Linked DNA regions of Oryza sativa Japonica Group. The protein of the gene in region 4 interacts with the protein of the main gene of each other region in a pairwise test. Links are inferred from orthologs where the notes say so. Each region holds a gene or a part of one and is shown on either strand. Other genes may lie near its edges.

Region 1 (4,450 bases), on a different chromosome or scaffold from region 4:
AGACGACAAGTGAAGTAGGCAGCAGTCTGGAAGGCGATAATCCTCAAAATCAGATGTGAAGACCCCAAGCCACCGAATATCAGGCACACGCAGGAAATTTGCATCGTATGCCAATTGCTTAAATAGAATGAGAATTACACAAGCGCATTGCAGAAGGTAGTTAGTTAACACAAATAAATACACCAAGCTTTCAAGGAAAATTAAATAAACTTGCAAGGTCCAAATCTACCAGCAAAATGGGACAGAATATCGTGAAAACAAGACATGCTAAAAGGGCTTAGAGCTGCCAAACAAACTGAAGGCATACTGTTTGATTCAAATGTGCCTTGATACTGGACAAAAATGTAATGCATAAAGGTCAATCCAGCTATTGGGAGCTACTGATAAGGAAAGTGTAGTAGTCATTTGCATAAAGTGGTTATATGTGATTTTTAATTAACAGGTATGCTCAGATAGTGCATAATAGCAAATACAAAGCAAACAGCTAATTAGATAAATCATGACCCACCAGTGAACCAAATTTGTAGGTAGCCAGAATGTCGAAACCATAAGGGTCTGCATCCACCAAACAGTAAACTGGCAAATGCAGCTGTTCAACAAGGTAGCGCAAGAATCTGGAAAAATAAAGTATTTACATTTGAAATATCAATTCAGAAAAATAAAAGAGAAAAGTATAACAAAGAGTATATGCCTTCTTGTTGGAATATCTGGGTAGCCTCTTCCCTGAGCAGACAGAACAACATCAAACTAGATAAGAATAAATGCAAGAAGATATTTTGTGTATAACACCAGATTCAGCAGTTAGTAAGTACTGTAATCACAATGCAGCGATTCCTTTCACAGAACTTGTCATTAGCCAAACGTTGAAACACTGCAAGGAGAGTACAGAAGCGAACTGTAGGAAGGCTGGAACTGGAAGAGTACAAGTATCACATGCACATGAGGAATCTTTAAGCCTCATACCTGTCTCCTTCTCGACAATAAGTATGTAGTCCGCAACACTAACAACATCTACAAGAGAAAACCTAAGATAGCTTAATTTCCTTGAGATATAATTCAGGCATCAGGGATAACACTGAAGTTCACAGATAACAAGAGAGGAAATCTGTAACATAAAGTGAGTAAAAGATATAAGTATAATCAACCGCATATTTGTAAGGAAAATGAAGAATAAACTGTGGGTTCACTTGTTGTCCAGTCTTTTTCTGGCATATCTTAAATCAAGACGGGTAAAGATACTAAGCACTGACTTTATTCTTTAGTCTAATGAACAGCACCTTGCTAAGAGATCAATCCTAGCTATTCGATTCAGAATATATCAAAGTGGATTCTCTCAAAACAAAGGATGGTGGCTAATTCTGAATAATTGAGATTATGGTCCAACCCCTCACGCAATCCATGTCAGCAAATTGTAAAGGAATTATTTTCAGTGCAGATTAACAGTAACATAAATACTGAATTTTAGATCTTTAAATTTCTGAACAACCTTTTATTGCTTCGATGCTAACTGGGATAGAGAAGGCCTGCATTTGAAGAAGGCAAAAATCAAACCATATCAATAAAAAGAAAGAAACATATTACAGTGATTAAAGGAAACTCATAGAACTTACAGCATTGACATTCGTTACACAATAGACTTCCTTTTCTCCCTCTAAAAATCTAATCCAGCCCATCACCAAGCTGGAATAATAAAGACATTGATGAGTTTTTAACAGGGGAAATGAATAGGTGAAGAATATATGAGCATAGCACTGTAATGGTAGCTTCACAGTGCTCTATAAGCCCTTGCTAAAAGAGAAGCATCTCACTATTTACATCCAGATTTTGTTTTAAGCAGACCAAGTGCTTGGAAGATAAGGGGTTAGAAGTTATCTTATTAAGTATTGGCATGGACAATCAATAGGACAGTAGAATGAGTTAAACATATCTTCAGACACTCCAACTCTATGATAGTTGACAGAGTTCCTACCCTTTTGCCACAGGAACCTGCAAGCAGCCAAGGTAGCACACATTCCAGTCAGTTATGACAGTACATACACATGAATTCAAGATGTAAAACAGCATTGAGAAAAAAAAGGCTCCAGGTGATTAATGACAGAAATGTGGGCACAAAGGATGTAGCAGCTGGAAAGTGGAATCTTATTATGTGATGCACACGCAACTTCTAGAAGCAAAACTGAAGATTCTGAAGGAAAATAACACAGATTACGCGGTACATACCACATTGAGATTGTGCCGGCTGCACTTGAAGAGTACGCATATATCATTGATTGCACGGTCAACAACCGCTTGTTCTGCAGTATTTAGACAAAAACAGGTGTCAGAATTCCAATTGTCACACACAGCAGGAAACAAAAGCAGAAGCGGAGGCATGGAACCTATGCAGACCTTGGAATATGGAGGGGTACATGTAGTAGATGTCCCTCTTGGAGCAGTGCTTGTTCTGCTGCAGGAGTTGCTGCACGACGAGAAGAACCCTGAGGAGCACATCTGCACATCGATTAAAACATCCCAAACTGATTAACATTAACATGATCGTAGATACGCAGGTTGAGACAAAAATCAACGACGCGTACTGAGCCGGGAGGCGTGGGAGCCCCGGTGGAGGAGCGAGAGTACATCTGTGCCCACGGGGACGTCGTAGCTGCAGGCGCTGCAAGCGCATACAGCGGGGTGAGAATTTGAAACGGCCGATGAGATGGTAGGGTAGGGCGAGACGCGGAAACCGACCATGGGGACGCGGCGGCGGCGGAGGCGGAGGAGCAGTAGTTCTGGTAGCGGTGGAGCGCGACGGTCGGGGAGCGGCCGGCGGCGACCTCGGCGACGACCCAGCGCACCAACCCTGCGCAAAAAACGAGGGACGCGTGTTTACTTCGGTTGATGAAGGATTCAGAAGTTTTTTAAGCGATTGATCACGAGAGGGAGGGGGAGTGCACCTCTGATCCTGTGGAGGAGGGTCGCCGCTTCCTCCTGCCGCCGCCGCCGCTCTTCGCCGTCGAGCGCCGCCACCCGCCGCCTCTTCTCCCTCCCCGCCATGATCGACCGCTGCGAGTGAGCCTCCGGCGGTCGGGCCAACAACGGCTAGCCCAGTATTGACCAAATGGGCTTGTAAAAACTGAAAACCCCCATATTTTTTTTCATTTTTACCAAGGGCCTATTCGCAATCTAATTCACACACAACTCGATATAATTCTAAGATTTTTGTGTATTTGTCCGATAAAATATATAAATAGTTCACTTCTTTTTTTTTCGAATTTGATGAATAATTTCGGAAATAATGACAGCACAAGTGAAGATTTTATTCATGACAACACAAGTGAAGATTTTATTCATAATTCGTTCATACATTTGCCGGTTAAATTACACTAACACCTAGTAGCTCGCTCACTAGCTCTCCAGACATCAACGTGACAAATACATCTATCCAACCACTACCTTCACTTTCACAAGCTACACACATCTGATACATCTTCAGCTAACGTACTCCTCAGACTGCCTGATCTGCTAATAGCAGCAGCAGCAACAACAACAATACAGCACCCACAAGAATTTTGGCCATAGCCCTAAGTTCAGAATTTACTCGTGGAAGCCTTGCACCTCTTGGTGCTGAGCTGGGCGACCGGGAACTCTACCAGGACGATGAACGACGAGCTCTCTGATTCCCGGAGGTACTGAACCGTGCCGCTCATCGTCTTCACGAGCTTCTGGCTTATGTAAAGGCCAAGGCCCTCTCGAGATGCACCTGGGCTGTGGCGGAACATCTCTTGTATCAGAGCCTCTGGAACGCCCGGAGCTGGATGGACAAGCCTGCATGGAGCCAACCGTTGGGCAGATGTTAGATTACGCTTCTGTTAAGTGGGGTTGTGCCCCAGCAAGCTCGTCGAACAATCTAAAGCTTCGCATCATCTAATCAATCTCCTTTTACTCACAGTTTTAAGGGTTGTCGGCCGGGTTATCCGTTATCTTAAATAGTTGTAAGGGTTGCATCATTGAATTGGTTATATAGTCATTACTCAGATGTTACGATATTGCATTTTATGTTTATGCTATGTTTATGTTGAGATAATATGGAAGGCCTATTTTGAACCGTCAGTTTTTATGTGACTACTGAGTGTCCTGCCTCTATTGATAAGATGGACAGTAAACACAAGCTGCAGGAATAAAGGTGTCTGGAACTCAATAGTGCGCCTCTAGTACTTACTGAACGCATGTTAACAAACAGATTTCTCCCCAGAGAAGTTGAGTTGGAGTAATGGAAATTAGGTCATTGCATGCAAAGTTTAAGTTGGTTCTATTACCAGTAAAGCTGTACTTGCAGTTCAAGAAACATCACTATAAGTTCCACAAGGCAAATGGGTGGCTTACCTGAACTCTAGATGAGCAATCTGCATTCCAGATCCAATATTTTCCATCCTGGGGATGACTTGGAGCACAATAGGCCCTTCAGCTG
Region 2 (4,339 bases), on a different chromosome or scaffold from region 4:
AAGTGACATGCAAAGAATGATTTCCCGTTCTTCTAACTCGTTGTTCGTCATTTGTTCCAAGTTTAGGTTTGTGTTCATAGATACATTTAAATTTGAATCTTCACAGTTTATACAAAATTAGGAGAAACAATGGGAAAAAAAAGAAAAAGAAGTTACAATAATACTCCTATACGACAAGAACCTGTCGATTTTGTTTATCAATGGCTGCAGGCAATTTGACCGCAGCAGACATCGTGAGTGCGACTGCCTTCGTCATAGTGATGATCTTCCTGGTCAATTTATTAGTTTGTTTGATGACAGACGCCTTGAATAATTACTGGATTCGTTCTGCCAAGGAAGAAGAAGCATCACCACCAGCTGGCAAGTTCTCTCTCCTGTTTACTATTATTTTTCCTGTTTAGTCTAGTAACAAATTAACTAATTGCTGGTTGATTGTTTTGATCGTAAAATATGTGTTGCAAATTGACAATGCAGGTCATGTACGAGGAAATGTTGCTGCTGTGAAGGCAGCGCAGATCGTGCCAACTCAGTACGCAGATCAGAGGATTGCTGTCTGAGTTCTATACGCCGGCTAGTGTAGAAGCTTGGCCACTGCATTGGCCATTAATTTCCTGGGTGTTATATATGTGTCATGTGAACCCACTCTACCTAAGTATTTACAGCTAGATATATAGCTTGATCTGGCTAAATTGGCTCAGTGGCCAATTAATTAAGTGTGTACTCTTTATTGTCTCGTCCGAACACAACTACTTGTATGTCCAGTTGAAAACAGTACGTGGCCATCGTGCCTTGCACCAAGGTATATATTGTTGGGTATTTGGTTTTCTCTCCACGCTTGTATATATTGGAGTTATATCACAAGCTAGTGTGTATCTCACCTTGCAAATTTGATGTTATCTGAAGCCACAGAATTTGAAATAACAACAATGCAACTATATGAGGCATTTCATAAGAAAAAGCTGCTCTTATTAAAATTTATTCATTCCCCATAGAATAATCCACAAATATTACATATATACAGCTGTGCTTTTGATATGTTTTCTGTGAGATATGTATTTGCCAATTATCCCCATATCTCTTTGAGCGTGTGCCATGACGCACATTCGCATGTGCGTGAGCGTGGCACTAATGTGTAGCTGTATGTATATCCGTGTCTTCCGTGTAATTGAGAAAAAAAATAAATCAACTTATTTTTAAAAGGGTCAACACACCATCCCCATATCCATGTTTTTGAAAATCTTTGGTGGACTTTCTTAATGTTTTTTCACAGCGATTTAAGTTTGTAAAATTGTGCCATGTCTTCCCTAAAAAAAAAATCCCTCAAAAAAAATTGTGCCATGTCAATGAAACGCTGACCGAGTCATCAGATATGGCTTATGTGCCTCATTGCTTGCCAAAGATTTATTATAAACTGTATGATAACAAAATAATTTGTGTATAAAAATTTTATATATGGGTTCTTAGCAACTTAAAAATCCATATAAAATAAAGTACGTTAAAAATATCTTAAAATTAACTTTAAAATAATGTTTGAAAATTCAAAATTTAGCTTCTAACACTTTTTAGGTGTACCGATGGGCTCAGAAGTTTCGGCTCACCTCACCACTTCACCAACCTATCTGGCCCGCTCACTACCGGCACAATCCTTCTCTTCCGGACTCTCCCCAACCACGCCGCAGCAACACGCGCCCAGACTCTAGTCGAGTTCAGCACTTCAGCCCCGCCGCCGTCTCCGCCGCTCAAAGCGCCCAAACCAAAATCCCCTAGATTTCCCCACGCCCCCGCCTCCAAATCTCTCGACATGTCGGAGAAGAAGCGCCGCGGCGGGGCAGGCGCGGGGGCCGCGTCGGGCTCCGCCTCCAAGAAGCCGCGGGTCTCCACGGCGGCGTCGTACGCCGAGTCGCTCCGCTCGAAGCTCCGCCCCGACGCCTCCATCCTCGCCACCCTCCGCTCCCTGGCCTCCGCCTGCTCCAAATCCAAGCCCGCGGGGTCGTCGTCGTCGTCGTCGTCCGCCTCGAAGGCGCTCGCAGCCGAGGACGACCCGGCCGCCAGCTACATCGTGGTGGCCGACCAGGACTCCGCCTCCGTCACCTCCCGCATCAACCGCCTCGTGCTCGCCGCGGCGCGCAGCATCCTGTCCGGCCGGGGCTTCTCCTTCGCGGTGCCCTCCCGCGCCGCCTCCAACCAGGTCTACCTCCCGGACCTCGACCGCATCGTGCTCGTCCGCCGCGAGTCCGCCAGGCCCTTCGCCAACGTCGCCACCGCGCGGAAGGCCACCATCACCGCGCGCGTCCTCTCCTTGGTCCACGCCGTCCTCCGCAGGGGGATCCACGTCACCAAGCGTGACCTCTTCTACACCGACGTCAAGCTCTTCGGCGACCAGGCGCAGTCCGACGCCGTCCTCGACGACGTCTCCTGTATGCTCGGCTGCACCCGCTCCTCCCTCCACGTCGTCGCGTCCGAGAAGGGCGTCGTCGTCGGGCGCCTCACCTTCGCCGACGACGGCGACCGGATCGACTGCACGCGCATGGGCGTCGGCGGGAAGGCCATCCCGCCCAACATCGACAGGGTCTCAGGCATCGAGAGCGACGCTCTCTTCATCTTGCTGGTGGAGAAGGACGCCGCGTTCATGCGTCTCGCCGAGGACCGGTTCTACAACCGCTTCCCGTGCATCATCTTGACGGCGAAGGGGCAGCCGGATGTCGCCACACGGCTGTTCTTGCGGCGGCTTAAGGTGGAGCTGAAGCTGCCGGTGCTGGCATTGGTGGACTCCGACCCATATGGGCTGAAGATCTTGTCAGTGTACATGTGTGGTTCCAAGAACATGTCATATGACAGTGCCAACCTGACAACACCGGATATCAAGTGGCTCGGAGTGCGGCCAAGCGATCTGGACAAGTATCGGGTGCCGGAGCAGTGCCGGCTTCCGATGACTGATCACGATATCAAGGTGGGGAAGGAGCTGCTTGAGGAGGACTTTGTGAAGCAGAATGAAGGATGGGTGAAGGAGCTGGAGACGATGTTGCGGACGAGGCAGAAGGCTGAGATACAGGCTCTCAGTTCATTTGGTTTCCAGTATCTCACTGAGGTCTATCTACCTCTCAAGCTGCAGCAACAGGACTGGATTTGAGGACCCTTTCTATGCTAGATGAATAGGTGAATTTTCATGCATTTATTTGACTACTGCGCTGTGCACTAGATTTATTTATTTAAAATAAGGTATTTTTGAGAATCAGTATTCCCATGGGCCATGGCTAGTCGAAGTCAAAAGGTAGCTCCAAAATGTTCAGTCAAAATGCATGGTTAACTAATTTCTATGTTAGATTAGGTTCTTTATGTTAGGTTCTTTAGGAAGTATTGCACACCCCTGACTGAGAGTTTGTAGGATCAAATTGATAAGGGTGACCAAGATTGCCTCGTAGTACCGTCAGATGTGGAAATCTTCTTCTAGCATTATGTATTTGAACAGCAGCTGCTGTGTGTATTCACTAATTTTTAAGAACATGGAAATGCTTACTTCAGCATGTATTCAGAGCAGGTATAGTGACAGGAAATTCAAATGTTACTGTGATATTACTCATGTATCCTGAGCATGTATTCAAAACAATGTATTCCAGCATTTATGTGCCAACTCCATGTTTGGATCAATGTAGAATTGGAGCTGTTCACATGTGTAACTGAGCACATCATGGCATGTTTTTAAGAGGCACAACAATACAGCCATGGGCATCTTGGACATTTGTTTTGCAATCAGGTTTCAAATCTTGAGCGAACAAACTTGTTACAAATCTATATTAGGCAATGGTGCTCAAAATCCACAGACAGTGGAGTATTTCACTGTACTCGGTCAGCATGTTTTTCAGTTTCCATGGAATTGCGGGGATTGCAAGTTTCCAGCAATAACCTAATAACTTTAATTCTGATGTTTTACCGTATCTGGATGGCCGTCCACAAATTCCTTCTTGTGAAACCGTGTTGGGTTGATGTCACTGAGTAGCACCAGCCAACCTGTACATCTGTATACACTACCTTATCTTAGGATGACTCTGCAAAAGGTTGAGGAACTGTCACTGCACAGTCCTCACAGCTTTCCTCTTCAACCAATGATTCAGAGAGTTGATCGGGATCTTTATCATCCCCTGCGGTCTCCTGGAAAAATGTTTAGAAGCTAGATCTAAATGACTCCTAGAACGAGCTGGAACTGTGGGTTTGGACGAAGCCGGGCGACTTCCAGGTCCAATTAAAACCTCAAGACCCAACTCATCCGTCAGAACAGCAACTATTGCATGCTCGACCTCGACAACACTAGTCTCGGCCTTGGCGCTTGATGCCTTCCCAT
Region 3 (4,542 bases), on a different chromosome or scaffold from region 4:
TAGTGAGCTCTTCAACGGAGAGTAGAATCCCCTTAAGGATTTGAACTCCGGGAACAACTTCGTGAACTTCATCATTGGTGATCTCCCTTCATCCTCCTTTTAGCTTTGCTTAATTGTGCCGCTATAGATCTAGTCGCTATTTGTGCTTTACTCTTGTTTGTGTGATAGATCTACTTGTTGTGCTTCCTTGGTGGATCAGACAGTCTGATCCAACATCAGACTATCTGATATTTTCGGATAGTCTGACTGTGGATCAGACTTTCCGACCTTATATCAGTTTTAGCTTCCGTATAAAGTTTTAAATTAGCCTATTCACCCCCCCTCTAGGCCTAATTGACCCTTTCAGAACTAATCTCTCCGACCAGCAAAACGGAGCGATTTATTAGTGCATGATTAATTAAGTATTAGCTAATATTTTTTAAATGAATTAATATGAATTTTTAAAGTAACTTTCACATAATCTTTTTTTTTCAAAAAAAAACACACTGCTTAATAGTTTAGAAAGCGTGTGTGCGGAAAATGAGAGGAGTGAGTTGGGGAAGAAGGGGGAAGAATACAACCTTAATGACCTCGTCAGCTCAATGACATCAAAAATCACTTCCCAATAATATGTTTCGAATTTATTTAAAGTACAACTTTTGAGTGGTAATTCTTATACTCAGCTACCCTTTCGAATAATTCACACAGAATATTATTCATTTTCAAACTTTAACTACTCATTCTTTCAAAACAAATTGTAAACACTAAAATAGATGGCATATTTGTTAAAGTGTATGGCGTCTGAAATATAACCATAAAATCCCCGTTATTTGTAATATAACTTTTTAGCAATTATTTAAAAATAGTTATAGCCAGTGTTGGCATTATTTAAAAACGGAGGGGAAAAAAAACTATGTATGGCAAGTCCTTTACTCGCTACCCTCGGCCTTGATCACTAACTTCCATTCTTTTGGTTAGATTATGGTTGTTGCACTATGCTTCTATAAATATTTTCAATGGATGAAATATTACTATTAAAATATTAATGCTATTACACTTTTTATACAAATACTTATAACTAAACCTTCAGTCCTTCCCAGAAGCTTACATTATTAGTTCCTTTTAAAAGGTCACCACAATTTCCTTTTTCTTATAAGAGGAAATCACCATAATTTCATATGGGGACTTGTTTGGATCCTCTAGTTTGCACTGCACAATGAGTACACACTGGTACAAGTCATTAAAGTTGAGGGTTAAAAATAACCAAATCTACTGGGGATAAAATGGCCGATTACAAAATATGAGGACCAAAGCTAAACCATTTTGTCTTTATCCTCCTTTATATTGGTCCGGCCCACCATCTACCTACAAAGCCCATGTATATTACAGCCCATCATTTCTAGGCCCCGCCCGCTACAAGTCTACAACGAGGTGGCGTCTCTCCTCTTTTCCGCCTCCCCAACGGGAAAGCGGAAACCTGGGCGAGTTGTCCGTTGGCGCCGCCGCCGGCGAGCTCGCGCACGGCCGCCGCGGCAGTACGGGATGGCGGAGGCGGGAGTGGCGGCCGCCTCGCTCTTCGGCGCCGACCGCCGCCTCTGCTCCGCCGACATCCTCCCTCCCGCCGAGGTCAGCCGCTCCTCCTCCTCTTCTCCCCCCCTCCCCTCCGCTTCGACCGAGCCGCGGCAAAGCTGACGTCACGCGGTCGAATCCCGGCAGGTGCGGGCGAGGATCGAGGTGGCGGTGCTCAACTTCCTCGCGGCGCTCACCGACCCGGCCGCACCGGCCATCTCCGCCCTCCCGCTGATCAGCCGGGGCGCCGCCAACCGCGGCCTGCGGCGCGCGCTGCTGCGCGACGACGTCTCGTCGGTGTACCTCTCCTACGCCTCCTGCAAGAGATCCCTCACGAGGGCCAACGACGCCAAGGCATTCGTTAGAGGTTGCCTCTTGATGATCTCTTCCATCTTATTTTTAAAAAGTAAATTTCATATAACCATAGTCTCAGTTACACAAATCCACGAGGATTTTGACAAAACCACGCTATCGATCATTTTGACTTTAATCTACCGTACATTTAAGTTCTGTGCAATTAAATCTCAAATTTATGAGTTCATATGAATGTGACATCCATGTAAATTTTGACGTGGGAGTGTTAAATTGGTTAACGACGTGGTTTTGTGAAGCTTTTAAGAGCATAATACCCGGGGTTATTTGCAACGTGTCAAAATTTCTATGGTTTTGTACAACTTGGACTATAATAGGTGTGGTTTTGTGAAATTTACTCTGTTTTTTGAAACGATGATATTTTCCATCTTCAACTTCAGCCAAAAAAAGTGTGTTTGATTCGTTCTCATTTGCTCTTGAGACAGTGTGGAAGGTGATGGAGATGTGCTACAAGATTTTGGGGGAGGGGAAGCTGGTCACCCTGAGGGAGCTGTTCTACACGCTCCTCTCTGAATCGCCCACCTACTTCACCTGCCAGCGGCATGTCAACCAGACTGTTCAAGGTCCACGCATTTCTGAATTCTGACTCCATTTTTTTTTTGTCGGTTGCTCTAACTTGGTGTCTCATAATGTTTGTGCCGTGTTCTTGCGCAGATGTCGTCTCGTTGCTCCGGTGTACGAGGCAGAGCCTGGGGATCATGGCGTCGAGTAGAGGGGCACTGATTGGGCGGCTTGTGGTGCAGGTGTGCCTCATCCCATGCTATGATGAGTGGAACATGTGTTGCATATTGATTGCATCTCTTGTTTATCTTGCAGCAGCAGCCTGAACCTGTGTTTAAATTGTCCTAGGGGCCGGAGGAAGAACATGTTGACTGCTCCATTCTTGGACCTTCTGGGCATGCGATCACTGGAGATCTCAATGTATTGAGCAAATTAATCTTTTCTTCAGATGCGCGGTATATCATTGTAGTGGAGAAGGTACTCTCTTTGCTTGTGCAATCTAGTGGTATTGTATTGCCCCCTCTTAGTTACTTCCAGCTGATCGCTCGCTGGTTTGATATAGGATGCCATATTTCAGAGGCTGGCTGAAGATCGCATATATAGTCACCTTCCGTGTATCCTGATTACTGCAAAAGGATATCCTGATCTTGCCACAAGGTTCTGTGCCTTAAATGTGCATTACTCTTTTCTTATCTAAATTTGTCCAGCTTATGTGATAGAGAATACACTCAATGTGACCATGATATTGTCAACATTATTAGGTTATCTTGTATACTTATACTATTTGCTATTCAATGTTCTGGAACAGGTTTATCTTGCATCGACTGAGCCAGACTTATCCGAACATGCCGATTTTCGCATTAGTAGACTGGTTTGGTCCTTCCAAGTGCTGATGTATAGCTGACTTTCTCTTTATATTTCAGGTGAAGTTAGTTTTCTTTTTTTGATCATTTTTCAGGAACCCAGCAGGGCTTGCTATACTATGCACTTACAAGTATGGAAGCATTTCAATGGGTTTGGAATCATACAGATATGGTACTTCCTTTGAGTGATCGATGTTTGATCATGCCAAATTTTCGAAAAAAATTAATGTTGCTTTTTACAGCTTGCAATGTAAAATGGCTTGGCCTAAGAGGAGATGATCTGCAGCTTATACCTCAGAGCGCATATCAAGAACTGAAGCCACGTGATCTGCAGATTGCCAAAAGCTTGCTGTCATCTAAGTTTCTGCAGGTGAGTCTGCTAACCCTCAACTTTTGGACTATGTAGAAGTATCTGGAACATAGAATTAAAACATGGATACAACTGTGCAAAATGGTTCAATCACAATGCAACCTGATACCTAGTATATATGTTCTGTCCATGCATCAAGTAGCACCAAACTTCTTTGGTCAAGTTTCAATATGCATCAAAAGGTTTGGTCACATGAGAAATTGAGATCATGTTTCAGCAAAATGTCCTTGAGGACTGCTGCAATGGAATTATCTAGCCATTCTGAGATCTTGTTACATGCCAATACTGTCTGGCCTTCTTATAGGCAGTGTTTACCCCAGTGGGTGAAAAAATGTACTGTTCTTGTCATTACAGGAACGATGGGAGTCCTTAGTTTCTGATCATGTTGCCTTCTGAATTGGAAACATGCAATATTGTAATGATGATGTTGTGTTGGCTGCAGGACAAGCACAGAGCTGAGCTGACACTGATGTTGGAGACAGGCAAGCGTGCCGAGATCGAAGCTCTCTACTCACATGGGTTTGATTTCCTGGGGAAATATGTTGCAAGGAAGATTGTACAGGGTGATTACATTTGACAGTGCATTGCTGCCTGCCTCATGGTTTCTCTGGTTTTACTGAGAACTGAAATTTTGAGCTGATTCCATCAGCCCTGGCCCTGTCCAGTTTTCTTCAAAAATGACTTGTATCTTTGAAGAATGTTGCTGTTGTTACTGCACGTCCCCTGCGTGAGTATGCTGTATGCAGAATACTTGAAATTATTACACCATCTGAAGGTGAAGGAGAAATCTGAACCTTGACATACACAAAAGGATACTGCTATACATCCCCAGAATGTCAGTAGTAAACTGCTCAGCTGTGGACTACTGGATGTAAATTGTAGTCTAGC
Region 4 (4,428 bases):
GTTCATTGGTCTATGCTACAGGGCAAAACAACTGAAAACCCTAATATTGGAGTTTCCTACAGATGCATTTGTTTGATAAGTTCTTAACAGCCATCTGATATCATATCACCAATTTGTCTGCCTGCATTTTCAGACCAACAATATTGTGTATCCTGAGATGTAATTAAAGGATATAAAACTGATGATCATGATTCATCCTCAGTACTTGGTTACATTCCATTCCTCCGAACATGTCTAATTTTACTTTGTGTTTGCATATGTCCAGTTTTAGTTGTTGCACAGTAAACAGGCCTAGAATTAGAAGCATCTATCTGCTTTTACTCTGTTTTTTCTTATTGTGACCTCTTAAATGGTTGTTTGATTTCTTTTGTACTACTCAGAATTTAGCATGTGAGCTCTTTGTTGCGCAAACAGACAGTGCTGGATCAGGAGACGTTTGTCTGTCACAAGATTCTGATGATGTCCATATTTCCATTACCACATCAAGTATTGACCGTCTAGTTTCTGGCCTTAAAGATTATGCACTCTCACATGCTAACACATCTGACAGGTGTGAAGCATGCTACATGAACAGGTAAACATTGCTTGCTGAGTTTAACTCTAGACATATTTGTTTATTTCTTTACTTTGCTATTGGAAATAGATTTATGATGTGTGTTATCTTTTGGATTTTGACTTTCAGTGGAAGCTTATCATTAGCAATTTAGCATCCATATTTAATCATTTTTCTGGAACTTGCACTTGAATCGCTAAACAACAGGTTTGAAGTTAATTTATGGGTGTTTTAGACTTTGTGTCACATAGGAAAAGTTGTCGCTCATGAAGCGGTAAATAAAATAATTGCAGTCACTGATTCTGAATGTAGTTATGAAAACTCACTTGTGCACACACGAAGGCTGGGGGAATAAGTCTTATCCCATCACATCTAATAAAATCTGAAATGTATTAATCAAATATGCACAATTGAGTGTATCAACATTATTTAATGTGAAGATATCAGATCCTGCCGCATTTGAGCTCTAGAATTGTATATATCAAGGCCTAATAGCTTTCTTTTGTTAAACAAAGTACCGATCTATCAGATGAACTGCTTCAGGTGGCCAACAGTGTCTGGTGCTATTCGCTAGATTTGAGTAATGTCTAATTGCCCCATTTTCCCATCACCCAAAGTCCCAAACCCATTCAGCATTTCAGTTCAACCTTTTTAGGCATGCTTGTGTATCCTACCTTTCGGTAGCCTGGTATGTAGTAGTTGAATTCAGTCATGTGCATACTAATGAATACCATATGTGTATCATCTATCTCTGCAATTGTACATTCCTCAAATAGCTTTGATTACATAGTTGATAGGGCTTGTATGTTTTGCTCTTCTGCCGTCTCACTTCAGAGATCGCCTGAAGATTGGAACTGGAACAGCAAAATATGTAGACAAAAGAAAAGCTAAAGGGCAACTTGTTGAAGTAGTGATAATGCTTGCACCTACTTCATCTGATTTGAGCTGTTGGATGACAAATTGTTCATCTACACAGGTTTGCACCATAGGCCTCTAAGTTACATAAACTAATTATGCAATTACATTAGCATACTTGTTCTTGTGATGTCTAACTGGTTATGGGTGTAGTATACAAGCAAGAGGGCCTCTTGTGTGGTATATTCTTGCTTGTATTTAGTAAGCTTATAAAAGTTATAACAGCATGGCGTCCAATGTTTATGCTGAAGGTGTGGTTCAAGTATGCTCACTGCTTCCACTCAATGGTGAATTGTCTATTGTAGGTTTTGCATTTTGTAGAGTTCATACCATGTCCAATCTCACAATCCTCCCTCAGTGCGCTGATGAGCATAGACTGGCAAAGCTACGGTTTCAAGTTTAAAGGGGGTTTCATTGATGACGATGGAAATGCTGAGCTTCAATGGGATAACATGGCATTTTCTCATGTCGATATTGCCATTCACACTTACCACGAAGGATATCCAGCTTTTGTTTTGTGCATGCTTTCTTTTTTCTAGTGATGGTGTCGCCTGTCTATTTGGCTGTGGATATCTCTGTTGGATTTCCCATCACTGTATTTGGCTATCCTTGACCTGCTGTAGCTACTGCTGTTGATGAATGGAAGAGCTCTCAACCTGAAAGGCATCTTCTAAGAAAGGCACTTAAGTCTGCATTGTTTGGATTGAAAGCAGACCATGCAGAAGACTTTCTCAGCTGCCATGGCCAGAAGGTTTGTGCCTTCTACACTTTGCTGTTAACCACGTAACTGGTGTGTTTGTTATTTCCATTCCTTACTTGTATGTATTTTCTGCCTGTTATAATTTATAACTCAAGAAAAACTATTGTTAGACATAAGGTAGTACTGAACCGACACCTGTTAGATTTAGTGCAACCTCAATGCAACACTTCTTAATCTGTGCCACCTGCCAACCTCGCAAAGTGACCACTTTCTGTATAGTTGCTCTTTTGGTCACACAAATTAGATTGACGTCATAATAAGCTTCATATTATAATTTCTGTAACTTATCATCAGAAATAATCACTCTGTTGGTTCCTACCTCAATGTGAATATCATCTTCACTTTCCTTGATACTTCTTTCCCTTGAAATATCAAGTGTGTGTCGGCTTTATACTACGAGGGGAAAACTGTATAGGGAAGAACTGGTGTGCCTACTGCCTAGTACACCCTAGCAAAATTACCACTCCCCTTAAATACCGAACAAAGACTAGACGGCAATATTGTTCAGCTTGGGAATGGGCTTTGTAAGTCTGTATGCCCTCAACTATTCTTGCTAGTTTTCATCAGGACACACATTGAATCTTAGTTTGGTGGCAAGCCACAAATGACATGGCCTAACATTTGCGTACTGTCAGTTCAATTACTACAAACTTGAAAAATGGATTAATCTGATATTCTAGAACAACTTTCATATAGAAAGTTTTCACACGAAACGCACCGTTTTACGGTTTGAAAAGCGTGCCATGAGTATCCAAAAGTTAATCCAACCTAAGGTAACTTGATGTAACTTGTTATTGCCTACAATTTGATGTAACTTGTTCTTTCCATAATTCAGGTTCGCGAGTATGTCCCTGATCTCGCAGAATCGATAGCTGGCTTAATCTTATCATCCAATGATCAAGAGTTCCAAGATGAGTGCATCGCTCTTCTCGGCCTAGGCTCAGATCAAGATCTCACAGAAGGGGCGGTTAGATCCTGCATCGGTGAGAAGATGAACCGTATCGTAGAGATGAATGACACCAAGGAGAACGTAGAGCACAACGCACCTTATCTGTTCGAGTGCGAGAGGTTCGATGAAGATTATAGCCTACTGGATGAAGACGACCCAGATGAGGATATGATTTTCGATTTCTAGCATTTCCAATTGTCTCGTAGCACTCCTAATCCAGAGATCTCCTATGCTGTGAGAGAGCTTTACTTTGACCAGAGAACTTTATAAACACTAACAAAGACTGCTCTCTGAGACTGTTTCCTGCCTCGTGTAAACAAAATTCAGACATTGTTACGTCAAAAATTCAGAAACTGCAAGTAATTGCCCATGTGCTGAGCATCTCTTTCTGTTCGTTCTCGTTCATGATAATATCTGCGTTCAATAACTCCATGAAGATTGTGTATACTATAAGCATTTTTAAAATAGTGCCAAGTCAAATATTTTTAATTGTGACTATTAATAGAAAAAAATAAAAAAAAATCATGTAAAATTAATATTAGTAGATTTATCATTAAACAAACTATCGTACTATACAATTATTTGTATTTAAAACATATTACTTTTATAGATATTGTTGGTTAAAGTAGCATCTCGAAAACCGTGTCGAAGTCCAAAAATACTTATATTTTAGAAAGGATGGATAGAGTATAACATTACAGACAAATTACATTATTTTTGTAGAAAATTCCACAAAATTTGAGTTGAATCCTTGCCTTCTTGATATCAGAAAGACGCGTGAGGGCGTGAGGCTGGATGCGTGTGGCCTCCTGACCTCGCGTCAGACTCAGAGCCCCATTTGCTTTTACAGAATGTGAAGCGTCCTCGTCTCGTCTAGTCCTCTCCTCCTCCTCCTCCTCCCTCCTCCTCCTCTCCGCTTTCGCTTTGACCAAACCCAAACCACGCGCAGCGCTCCCATCGCCCAGGGCAACGCCACGAAACCTAGCCCCACCGACTCGCCTCGCCTCGCCTCGGAATCCCCCAACACCAGAGCGCGGCGGCGACCATGGAGCCCTCCCCCGTCGGCGGCGGGTCCGCCTCCGGGTCGGTGGAGCGGTGGCGCGCGGAGGCGTCGCGGGCGTTCCAGCACTACCTGGATCGGGCGGCGCCGCACACGGCGGGGCGGTGGGCCGGCACGCTCGTGGCCGCGGCGGTGTACGCGCTGCGGGTCTACTACGTGCAGGGGTTCTACGTCGTCACCTACGGCCTCGG

What was found.
Region 1: the proteins of type 2 DNA topoisomerase 6 subunit B-like (region 4) and SPO11-1 interact in binary tests that used the Arabidopsis thaliana proteins (3 or more experiments, as listed by UniProt). The link is inferred for Oryza sativa Japonica Group from reciprocal best matches to the Arabidopsis thaliana genes AT1G60460 and ATSPO11-1.
Region 2: the proteins of type 2 DNA topoisomerase 6 subunit B-like (region 4) and SPO11-3 interact in binary tests that used the Arabidopsis thaliana proteins (3 or more experiments, as listed by UniProt). The link is inferred for Oryza sativa Japonica Group from reciprocal best matches to the Arabidopsis thaliana genes AT1G60460 and RHL2.
Region 3: the proteins of type 2 DNA topoisomerase 6 subunit B-like (region 4) and OsSPO11B interact in binary tests that used the Arabidopsis thaliana proteins (3 or more experiments, as listed by UniProt). The link is inferred for Oryza sativa Japonica Group from reciprocal best matches to the Arabidopsis thaliana genes AT1G60460 and SPO11-2.

The regions. Positions count from the first base shown.
Region 1 is NC_089037.1:31,891,480-31,895,929, reverse strand, and holds the start of SPO11-1 (meiotic recombination protein SPO11-1), read right to left. Parts: upstream 3,084-4,450; 5' UTR 3,037-3,083; coding exon 2,937-3,036; intron 2,843-2,936; coding exon 2,731-2,842; intron 2,654-2,730; coding exon 2,577-2,653; intron 2,491-2,576; coding exon 2,389-2,490; intron 2,295-2,388; coding exon 2,221-2,294; coding exon of another isoform or gene 2,210-2,220; intron 1,987-2,209; coding exon 1,970-1,986; intron 1,681-1,969; coding exon 1,611-1,680; intron 1,524-1,610; coding exon 1,487-1,523; intron 1,012-1,486; coding exon 964-1,011; intron 872-963; coding exon 813-871; intron 724-812; coding exon 692-723; intron 615-691; coding exon 509-614; intron 118-508; coding exon 1-117. Other genes in the region: phytochrome C, read right to left, coding at 3,570-3,807, 4,366-4,450. UniProt on the Arabidopsis thaliana protein: Component of a topoisomerase 6 complex specifically required for meiotic recombination. Together with MTOPVIB, mediates DNA cleavage that forms the double-strand breaks (DSB) that initiate meiotic recombination.
Region 2 is NC_089037.1:9,846,227-9,850,565, forward strand, and holds SPO11-3 (topoisomerase 6 subunit A3), read left to right. Parts: upstream 1-1,470; 5' UTR 1,471-1,801; coding exon 1,802-3,130; 3' UTR 3,131-3,570; downstream 3,571-4,339. Other genes in the region: cysteine-rich receptor-like protein kinase 25, read left to right, coding at 211-360, 475-557; pentatricopeptide repeat-containing protein At5g02830, chloroplastic, read right to left, coding at 4,068-4,339. UniProt on the Arabidopsis thaliana protein: Component of the DNA topoisomerase VI involved in chromatin organization and progression of endoreduplication cycles. Relaxes both positive and negative superturns and exhibits a strong decatenase activity. Involved in cell-elongation processes.
Region 3 is NC_089042.1:3,347,917-3,352,458, reverse strand, and holds the start of OsSPO11B (meiotic recombination protein SPO11-2), read left to right. Parts: upstream 1-1,447; 5' UTR 1,448-1,521; coding exon 1,522-1,605; intron 1,606-1,695; coding exon 1,696-1,915; intron 1,916-2,345; coding exon 2,346-2,483; intron 2,484-2,574; coding exon 2,575-2,663; intron 2,664-2,769; coding exon 2,770-2,898; intron 2,899-2,983; coding exon 2,984-3,078; intron 3,079-3,229; coding exon 3,230-3,292; intron 3,293-3,379; coding exon 3,380-3,456; intron 3,457-3,526; coding exon 3,527-3,654; intron 3,655-4,096; coding exon 4,097-4,231; 3' UTR 4,232-4,542. UniProt on the Arabidopsis thaliana protein: Component of a topoisomerase 6 complex specifically required for meiotic recombination. Together with MTOPVIB, mediates DNA cleavage that forms the double-strand breaks (DSB) that initiate meiotic recombination.
Region 4 is NC_089040.1:30,832,606-30,837,033, forward strand, and holds the end of type 2 DNA topoisomerase 6 subunit B-like, read left to right. Parts: intron 1-380; coding exon 381-574; intron 575-1,387; coding exon 1,388-1,529; intron 1,530-1,773; coding exon 1,774-1,967; intron 1,968-2,095; coding exon 2,096-2,219; intron 2,220-3,063; coding exon 3,064-3,363; 3' UTR 3,364-3,547; downstream 3,548-4,428. Other genes in the region: protein RER1A, read left to right, coding at 4,223-4,428.